Linked DNA regions of Canis lupus familiaris. The protein of the gene in region 1 interacts with the protein of each later gene in a pairwise test. Links are inferred from orthologs where the notes say so. Each region holds a gene or a part of one and is shown on either strand. Other genes may lie near its edges.

Region 1 (4,941 bases):
GAAGAGCAGGTGCAGGGAACAGAGGCTAAGTTAGGCCCTGAAGGACCAGAAACCTTCAGACAGAGCAGCAAACAAAGATGTTCCAAGTGAGGTCAGAGAACAAAGGTGGAGGCAGGGCAGAGCATGACGTATGTGAGGCATGGTGACACAGAAGGCTTGTTGGGGGAGGTAGGGGTGATATTGGGGATGAGAGAAAAATCAGGGCATGACAGCTTGGTAAAGTAAGGCTGAAGCATCTGTCTTCTTGCTGGCAGGAAGAAGGTTTGGTCCAGGAGAGTGAGTTGGTAAAAGCAGCATTTCAGAGTGATTCATCCAATGAGGGTAAGCCAGGTGGACTGGGGGCTGGGCGGGGGAGGTTGGTGGTTTGGAGAGGCAAGTTGGGGAGAGCAGGGAGGAAGGACTATTGTATGTAGGGGGGTCATTTCAGGACCTGTGGGAGGACTCAGCAGGATCAAGATATGTCTTACTACTAAACTTAATGGAGGCTCAGCTATTCCCTGTTCTTTGGTCTATAAACCCAAGCTCAGTGGGGCTTCTGGGGAGTCCCATAGCTGGCATTTCTCCCTTGATCCTGGCAGCTGTGAGGGGGTCAGAGACAGCCCCTTTACATGGGGCAGTTGGGTAACATTTCTGCCTAACACCCCGGTGTTAGGCCAGGCAGCTAGAAGCAAGGTGCTCAGACGAGGTAGGGGTGGGGGAAAGGGGAAAAACTATGGAGGGAGAAGAAACCTGGCCTCAAGTTTTCTGTTTCTTGTGTTATCTAAACATTATTCTTTTTCTTTCTTTTTTTTAAATTTTTATTTATTTATGATAGTCAGAGAGAGAGAGAGAGAGAGAGAGAGAGGCAGAGACATAGGCAGAGGGAGAAGGCGGCTCCATGCACCGGGAGCCCAATGTGGGATTTGATCCTGGGTCTCCAGGATCGCGCCCTGGGCCAAAGGCAGGTGCTAAACCACTGCGCCACCCAGGGATCCCAACATTATTCTTTTTCAATGTTGACCAAGGTCTTTGGGAAATTCTGACTTCAGGGTTGCACTGGGAGAACCAGGGGAGAGGCTGTCCCTAGGGTTCAGGGCTGAGCTTTCATTGATTGGCGAGGGGCATCTGGTACTGCTGGGAGTCTTCCCGGTTTCTTTTTTTTTTTTTTTTTTTTTCTTCCCGGTTTCTTAACAAAAGCAGGGAGAAACACGGAAGTCAAAAGGGCTCACGTCCCCAAACAGATTTATGGTCACATTATTTGCTTGCCTTTTTGCTTATAATTCAGAGACTGTGGAGAAACATAGCACAAGATTATATTGTTGATTAATTATATCATATGGGGGAGAGGGTGTAAAAAGTACTTTTCTACTACATTATTGACATCCCCTGAGATATTTTAGGGGGAAGAAAGGGGTATCTTGCATACCACTAAAGCCACTAAACACTGGCTTTATCCTTCCTCACCCCGGTGCATGTTCCCAACTCAAATGGCTATTTAACAAACTACGTTTCCCCTTCTTAAAAAAATAAATATGTAGTGATAAATCTTTCCTTGATTCGTTTACAGTAGAAAGTTCAAATCTGATAAGATCCAGAAACTAGGTGTGCAGAAGGCAATGGCTAAGAAAGCCCTTGACTGCCCTTGGGAAAGGGGCCCAGCTATTTTTCTTTCCCTCTTAACTGTTAAGAATTATATCATGAGGGACACCTGGGTGGCTCAGTTCGTGAAGTCTCTGCCTTGGACTCAGGTCATGATCTCCAAGTCCCAGGATCGAGCCCTGCATCAAGCTCCTTGCTCAGCAGAGAGTTTGCTTCTCCCTCTGCCCCTCCCCACTGCTTGTGTTCTCTCTCAAATAAATAAACAAACCTTAAAAAAAAAAATTATGTCATGAAACAGCATCTCAACCCAGCCTAAATCAGACTTTTATACTACGAAGAGGGATAAAGCCAGCCATAGTGACTAAGCAGGCCTCCCAGGGGCCTCTGGTGACTGCAGACCTGCCCCTCTCCTCACGCTGACCACTGCTCTGAGGCTGGCTTTGGGTCTCCTCAGGGCCTGCAAGAGCATGAACAGACTTTTTGACCTAGCAAGTAAGGCCCTGGCGTGGTCTGGCCCCCGTCTACCCATGTAGCCCTGTCTGGTTCCTTCCCTCTCCTCCACACCCACCACCTCTGCCCTGGCCACCAAGGTCCTGGTTCCATGCTTCAGCTCATGCTGCTCCCTGCTCCCTAGACCTGGGAAAGCAAACTGCCTTTTTTCAGAAGAAGGTGGGGAAGGGGATGTCAGCCACAGATGTCACCTCTTCAGAAAACTTTTCCCCCAAATTCTAGCATCTAAGGCCTGGGATCAAGGGCTCTGAGCCCCCTTAACCACTAGGGATCCCTGTATCCGAGCATTGATATTTGCCTGGTTCCTCCTCTGGCAGTTCACTAGATTGAGTTTCTCGTGGGCCAGGGTCACACAGTCAATACTGACACCGTTGCTGCCCAGCACAGTGCCTGCCCACAGCAGCAGGCCCTCAATAAATGGAAATGGCAAAAGATGGAGATGAGGTGAGTTGCACATAGGAACACGTCCACGGGGGTGAATGTGCAGTCAGACACCTTGGGACTCTGCCACCTGCAACCAGAGGAGGCCAGGACGCTGTCATGTCTGAGGCGCTCTCCAGTTTAAACAAGTGGGACAAGTGTCATCCATCCCGAGAGGACATACGTGGTGGAGAGAGGTGGGAAGAACTGGCCAAGTCGGGCATTTCTTCTGGGTTTTTCCAGCCAGCGGCTTATGTGAACACCCTCAAAGGATCCCCCTGGTGGGGTTGTTGGTTTCACCACCTCAACATGTTTCGTGCATTCTTTTCTGAATCTCTTTTCCCAAGGACTGGGGTTCCTGGACCTCTTTCTTGACTCTTCTGAACCCCCGCCAGCGGAGGGCTCGGGCCTGCGCAGTCCCACCCTGAGATCCGGCCTTCCTGCCCTGGGCCATCTGCCCAGCAGTTGACCCTGAGGCCTCTCCGGCCTTTCTGCGTCCCCATCCCCAAGGCCCAGTGCACTGGGCCCCCTCCCCTCAGGGGTCGCTGCCTTCAGCCCTGAGGTTTGGGGTACGCCTTGCTCCGTACCCCATTCCCCCGTTATCTTTACCTCTGTCCTGGTGTCACCCCCGTCCTCCAGGCCCTGTGTCGTGAATCCCATCCAAGAACCCCAGCCCCTCTCGGGTTCTCCTGAGCTCCCAAGGCAGCCAGCGCCAACCTTTAAAGACTTCTGCGGCCTCCAAGAATCTGTGAGTAGACATTTTGAGGCGGGACTCCTTCTTTAGAGACTTCATGGTGCCGCCCGGGCCGAGAGCGTGACCCTGCGCCGCGGGACCGGGGACAACGAGGCTGCGCGACACCCCGGCGACCCCGCGCCCCCCCGCCCGCCGCCGCCGAGGCGTCCATAGCAACCAGCGGCTCGCGCGGGGGGGCGCACCCACCGATCAGCTTGGGCGGAGACTGCTTGGCGGCCACCTTCTTCATCCGGCCACGCCCTCGCGCCCGCCGAGGGCCGCTCCCGCCGCGCGCCGAACCGAGCGAAGCTGCCGGCCGGGGCCGTGATGTCACAGGGAGCCGGCGAGCGCCGTGACGTCAGCGGCCGGCGGGGCGGGGGCGGGGCGAGACCCGCGGGAGCGGGGCGAGGTGGGCGGGGGGCGTGAGTCAGCACCGCCCCGGCTCCCGCCTGCCCTCCGCGCCTCCGTCGGGCCGTTTCTTCCACGCCCCGCCGAACCCCCCTGCGCCGCTTCCCGTGGGCTTCAGTGACCTGGGGGCCCCTGCCCGTCCCCTGTGGCCTCCGCCCGCCCGCGCCCGCCACAGGCTCTCGGTCACTTCCCCCAAAGCCCAGGCTTTTACCCCGACTTGGGCGCCCCTTGTACTGCTGGTTTCAATCCCTGCAGATGCTGCTGCCCTTGACCCCCGAATTTAAAGTAGACCCTCTGTGGTCTCAACTTTCAGTTGCACCTGGTTTATATTTTCCCTAGAGCCCTAAGGCATTCTCGAATTATTCTGTCTGTTGGGGCAGGCGGCGGGGTGTGTGTGTGTGTGTGTGTGTGTGAGTGTGTGCCTGTTATCAAGTTCTCTTGAGAATGTAACCTCCGTAAGAGCAAGGCAGGCCTGTCACTTGTCCCCACCCCCACTCCAACCCAAGTTTAGCACTTTGTAGTCACTCAAACTGTGTGTGGAATAATGAAGGGGCTTTGGAGCCAGACTGCCTGCTTGCTAGCTGTGTGTTCTTGGACCAGACCCCTTGACGTCTCTGAGCCACAGTTTTCTCACTTATAAAATGAAGATGATGATGCCTCCCACACAAGGCCACTTGAGATCATAATTGAGAATATGTACTTGAGTACTTGAGATGCATAAGTGAGAATATGCATGAAAAGTACCCACCACAGAGATCTCCATAAGCCATAGAATCTTCTCAGTTCTCAAAATCATGGTAAGGTTGGGGAGATGGGCTCTATACCCATTTTACAGATGAAAAAACTGAGGTCTACATAAGAGGAGGCTGTAAAGGCACCTGAGTAGCAGGAAGTACAGTTTGAGCATGGTTCCCCCAAATCCAAGGCCAGAACTCTTTGTGCCCTGTCTTCTGGGCCATGTCAGAGCTTTGCTTCAGTCTGCCCTAGACAAGGGGAGGAACTAGGGAGGATGACTGTAGGGGTAATCTCTCGGCTCCCTGTGTGTTCCCCAGACACCTCTTCATGCCCCTCTATATGGTCACTTTCTTACTGAAACATCCTCCGTAGACAACCTCTCTTTTGCTCTTGGAGGCCCAACCACTAGCCTCCTTCCACCCACCCTACCCCCGCAAGGGAGTCCCCAGTTTAGCTCACTCCATGAACATTTACGGAGCACTTAAGATAGATCAAGCCGATCACTGTGTCATCTGGACTTGCCAGGAAGCAGACATGGAGATGGGTTTAGGAGTGCA
Region 2 (4,250 bases), on another chromosome or scaffold:
CTTTCATTGGAGCATTCTGCATTCTATGTGTGTGGTGACCACAGTAAAGACAGGTTCTCTAACATTAGGGTTAGAATACACAAAACAGGATGACTCTTAATAATGTCAGTCAATCAGTAAGGAAAATAAATGACCACTAAAATGAAACATCTGACTATAGGTCTTCCAAAAGAAAGGAAAAGGACTAACAAACAAGAATATAGTGCTTTACCATTGACAGATCTTTCACGTACATTCCATTTGACCCTCACAACAACCCTGTGAGGTAGGCAGCACTGATATTATTCTTCTCATTTAACAGATGAGGAAAGTGACTCTCAGAGCAGTTAACTGAAGTGCCCAAGGTTCTATAGTTAGTGAAGAATTTGTATTAATATCAGTCTTTGGCCTAAAAATTCAGCACCCAACCTCCCCTCATACCTGCCCTACCTACTTCACAGGGATAATGAAGATAAAATGAATTCAAGGCTAGAAAAATACTGAGGGAAAAAAAGCACTATATAATTATACCCGCAAACTATAATTCTCCACGATATATGGCTCATTCCCCTTCTTATCCCAGCTTGTGCGTGAACCCAGAAATTTATATTGCCTCAGTTCTGTGCTCAATCAATTAAGCAACTAAGTAAGACAGGGGAACAGTTGTGGTCCTGTTTGAAGGTATATAAATTACAATCAGGGCAACTGCTAGTATAGCAAATTGAAAAACAACATAGGCCAATGTGCAGCTGGAACCCACTGAAGCACAGAGCAAAGCAAGGCAACATTATCAGATAGGGCATGATTGCATAGAAGGAAACGTGGTGTCAGAGTTCAAACTGGCACACACACGGTTATCTAAGGCAAAGTGGTGGCAAAGAAGAGTTATTTGTTCCACATTATATAAACAAGAGTACAATATTCATGGGAACCCGTGCAAAAGCATCTTCTGTCACACAGATCTCTCGAGCTGCCTACAGAGGATATAAACAACAGTGTCCTCTTCATTTTAAAGAATGGCTGTACCTGTGCTCACATCCTGCACTAAACCAAGGAACAGCTCCATGCTGAACTTCTTGGCCTACATACAACCAGTACCATCATTCCTAGTCAGACTAATAAACAATGTCCTTTAAGGTAATGAATTAGATGGCTGTGTTTAGATTTTTTTTCAGGATTCACTTTGGATTCTCCTGCTTTTAAGACCCAAAGAAAGTTATATTGAGTTTTTATTGGTGATTCTAAGTATATGTGTTTATAACAGTTAAAGTGTGATAGGTGAATTCAACATATTAAAAGAGTTCTAGAGCATCTGTTCAGAAAAGATTATATACTATACAAACTATTCAAGTCATACAAAACCATTTTTTCAGTGTCTTTTCAACTGAGAAGAATCCTATTCAGCACGCTTCTCCTCCTGAGGTGGTTCATACTGAGCAAGCTATAGGGCAAAGACAGAGGAGTTTAGGTGAATTTTATTCTAAGTTGGGTAAAAAAAAAAAAACTTAATAGTAACAAAACGAGTAGTTAACTATTATGTCCAGTTTAATTACTGAATCAGTAACTTATTATATGAATATCATATCCCTTTTTAAACCATTTAAGATTAATACAATTTAAGATTTAATATAATCAAGTCTAATGAAAACTCTTTTCATATAAGCCTTTAAAATTACTGGGAAACCAAAACTGAATTCCAATTCGAGACTACACTACTCAAATACTTGATATGCAATAATCTGTATCTTCCCAAAGATGTTGTGGCTTCTGGCAAGGTACTTAATCTTTCTCTTTACCAAACGTTGACTGAACTTTCTCTTAAAAAGCAGGAAAAAGAATAATCTAGCCAGTCAATGAAGAGCAGCTCATGTCTTTGACTTAAAAAGTGCCAAAAAGTTAACTGGTATTTGTGTTGTGGAATCCTGGATAATTTAAGATGCTGCATTTTCTGTTATGCTAAGCTGTGGTTCCCTGAAAGAACACTAGGCTAAGATTTAGGTTGTTCCAATTAGCTGTCAGATTTGAGAAGATAATTAGACTTCAAGGTGCTTTCAGTTCCTAAATATAAGATGGTCTGTGTACCTGTTTCACTTATCTCGCAAGGTTGTTGAGAAGATAAATCACATTATGAGAAATGCCTAATATAAAATGCGTTATGTGATTCAAATGTGGAAAAACCTCAAAGACTTGGAGTTGACTAATTTGAAGTTTATGAAAATTCTCACAGGAGTTTCAACAAAGAAAAAACTTTAGCAAATAGACAAAATCAGGTGCAAACAAATTTATAAAGATAGGCCAGCACATACAACTGTGCAGATTATGTACTGCACAACTCTAAGAGGTGCTATTCACAAAGCAATGACCCTACATTGACCTACTTAAATCAACTGTTCATGACTCCCAGAAACCTCCATTTACTCATAAGCAGCATTAACCAGTACTCTCATCTTTTTTTAAGTAGGCACCATGCTCTGCATGGAGCCTAGTGCAGGGCTTGACCTCACACCCCCTACTAAGATCAAGACCTGAGCTAAGATCAAGAGTCAAGACCGAATGAGCCACCCAGGCATCCCTCTCATCTTTTTCTTGATGTGGGTTCCTAAGAACCTCTTCTTGACCACACGTAGCTTGTCCTATTTACTATCTGTCTGTGGTTTTCTAGATAGGGCATCAGTTCAGCCTTGCAGTTAATTGAGATTATTAATCCCCCTACCTTCCCTGCTATCCGTTTTAGTGAGGCTTTGATCTTATAATCATTAAAGATGAAATTATTTTTAACATGAATTCTTTTAAAACATTTACCTTTGTTTTCAGTTTTTTATTTTCTTCTACAATAGCTTCATATTTTTCTTTCATTTCTGCCAATTCTAGGCGAAGCAGCTCTATTTCTGGATTTTCTGGGGTAGCAGCTCCTAAGTGATGCTTTAAGAAACTAATATCAAAGTTAAGAATTTACTTGAGCTGAATGAAACTAATGAAATATCTCAGAGTAGTATCAATATCTCTGATCACAGTCACCCCATCTTACCACCACCATTTACCCAGAGATCATCACCACAAAACTTGAAGTAACTTTTTCAATCATCAAAAATATTTCAAATATTATTTATGTGAAAAAATAAGAGTTCCAAAAATAAGTCCTTTTTCTGACTTGAAAGATGAAAAGGATACTCCAAAGCACTATTAGGTTTCTCTGGTTCTTCATATAAGGCTACCAATACTGCAAATCAAAAAGCAGAAAAAAGCAACAATTAAAGTCTTAAATTTGACTGAAATTATATTCCATAGCTCAGTAAATATTAAGTGCCCATTATATGCCAAGCACATTGCTAGGGCTGCCATACCATGGTAAACAAGGCAGATAAGGTCCCTGCTCTCAACAAATTTACAGTCTAGTGCAAAAGCAAGGAACTAGACAAAAAAAAGAGCATCAAGCGGCAATACAGGATGATGGATTATGGGAGCACATTGGAAGAACACCTAACTCAGCCCAAAGCACCAGGGAAGGCTCCCCAATGAAGGGAAATAAGATGTGAGACTTGGCTCTGAGGGTTTCAGATAAAATGGGAAGGTGAGGGGGTGGGGAGGACAAGAGAACAACATATTGAGGAACTGAAAATTCAAATATGGCTAGATGGAGCTATGAACTATGTGGCAGGGAAGGAAGCTGGCAAGGTGGTCAGGAGGCAGACCACGGAGGATCCGGCAAGTTTGGTTGGACTTTGATGCTCAAAACAGGAGGCATATAATTAAACAGTTTAAGCAGGACAGTGACAGGATCGCTCTTGACTGCTGTGTGAAAGATCCAGAGTGGGACAAGGATGAAGGCAGGAAGAGCAGTTAAGAGGCAGGTGTCCTAATCCAGCTGAAAAAGATAGTAACCTGCGCTAGCGTGATGGAGGGGTGAAAACAAAGTAGATTAATTTGAGAAAAATTTTGGAGAATCAACAGGGCTTATGGTAATTACTGGAAGAAGCTTTGAATTCAAAGTGTGCTTCAAGAATAGTTTCATATACAATATGCTAAATAACCACCAACCAAAAACTTTACCAGTAATCGACATGCTCAGATCAACATTAAAATAGATGTTTTAGTTTGTACCCAAAAGCTTATGTCAGCACTACCTTTCTCATCTTCTATTGAACAAATTCCTCCTAGGATTTACTACTCAGACAAAAATCTCTCTAAACCAGTGGTTAAATTTTTTGTGCATGGAACCCTTTGAAAAATGACAAAAGCCAAAAATTTAACTACACACACAAAAAAATGTG

Evidence for each region.
Region 2: the proteins of MYCBP-associated protein (region 1) and MYCBP interact in binary tests that used the Homo sapiens proteins (3 or more experiments, as listed by UniProt). The link is inferred for Canis lupus familiaris from reciprocal best matches to the Homo sapiens genes MYCBPAP and MYCBP.

What each region holds. Positions count from the first base shown.
Region 1 is NC_049230.1:26,381,782-26,386,722, reverse strand, and holds the start of MYCBP-associated protein, read right to left. Parts: upstream 3,382-4,941; 5' UTR 3,302-3,381; coding exon 3,226-3,301; intron 1-3,225. UniProt on the Homo sapiens protein: May play a role in spermatogenesis. May be involved in synaptic processes.
Region 2 is NC_049236.1:3,939,926-3,944,175, reverse strand, and holds the end of MYCBP (C-Myc-binding protein), read right to left. Parts: intron 3,200-4,250; coding exon 3,151-3,199; intron 2,912-3,150; coding exon 2,782-2,911; intron 1,421-2,781; coding exon 1,376-1,420; 3' UTR 1,198-1,375; downstream 1-1,197. UniProt on the Homo sapiens protein: May control the transcriptional activity of MYC. Stimulates the activation of E box-dependent transcription by MYC.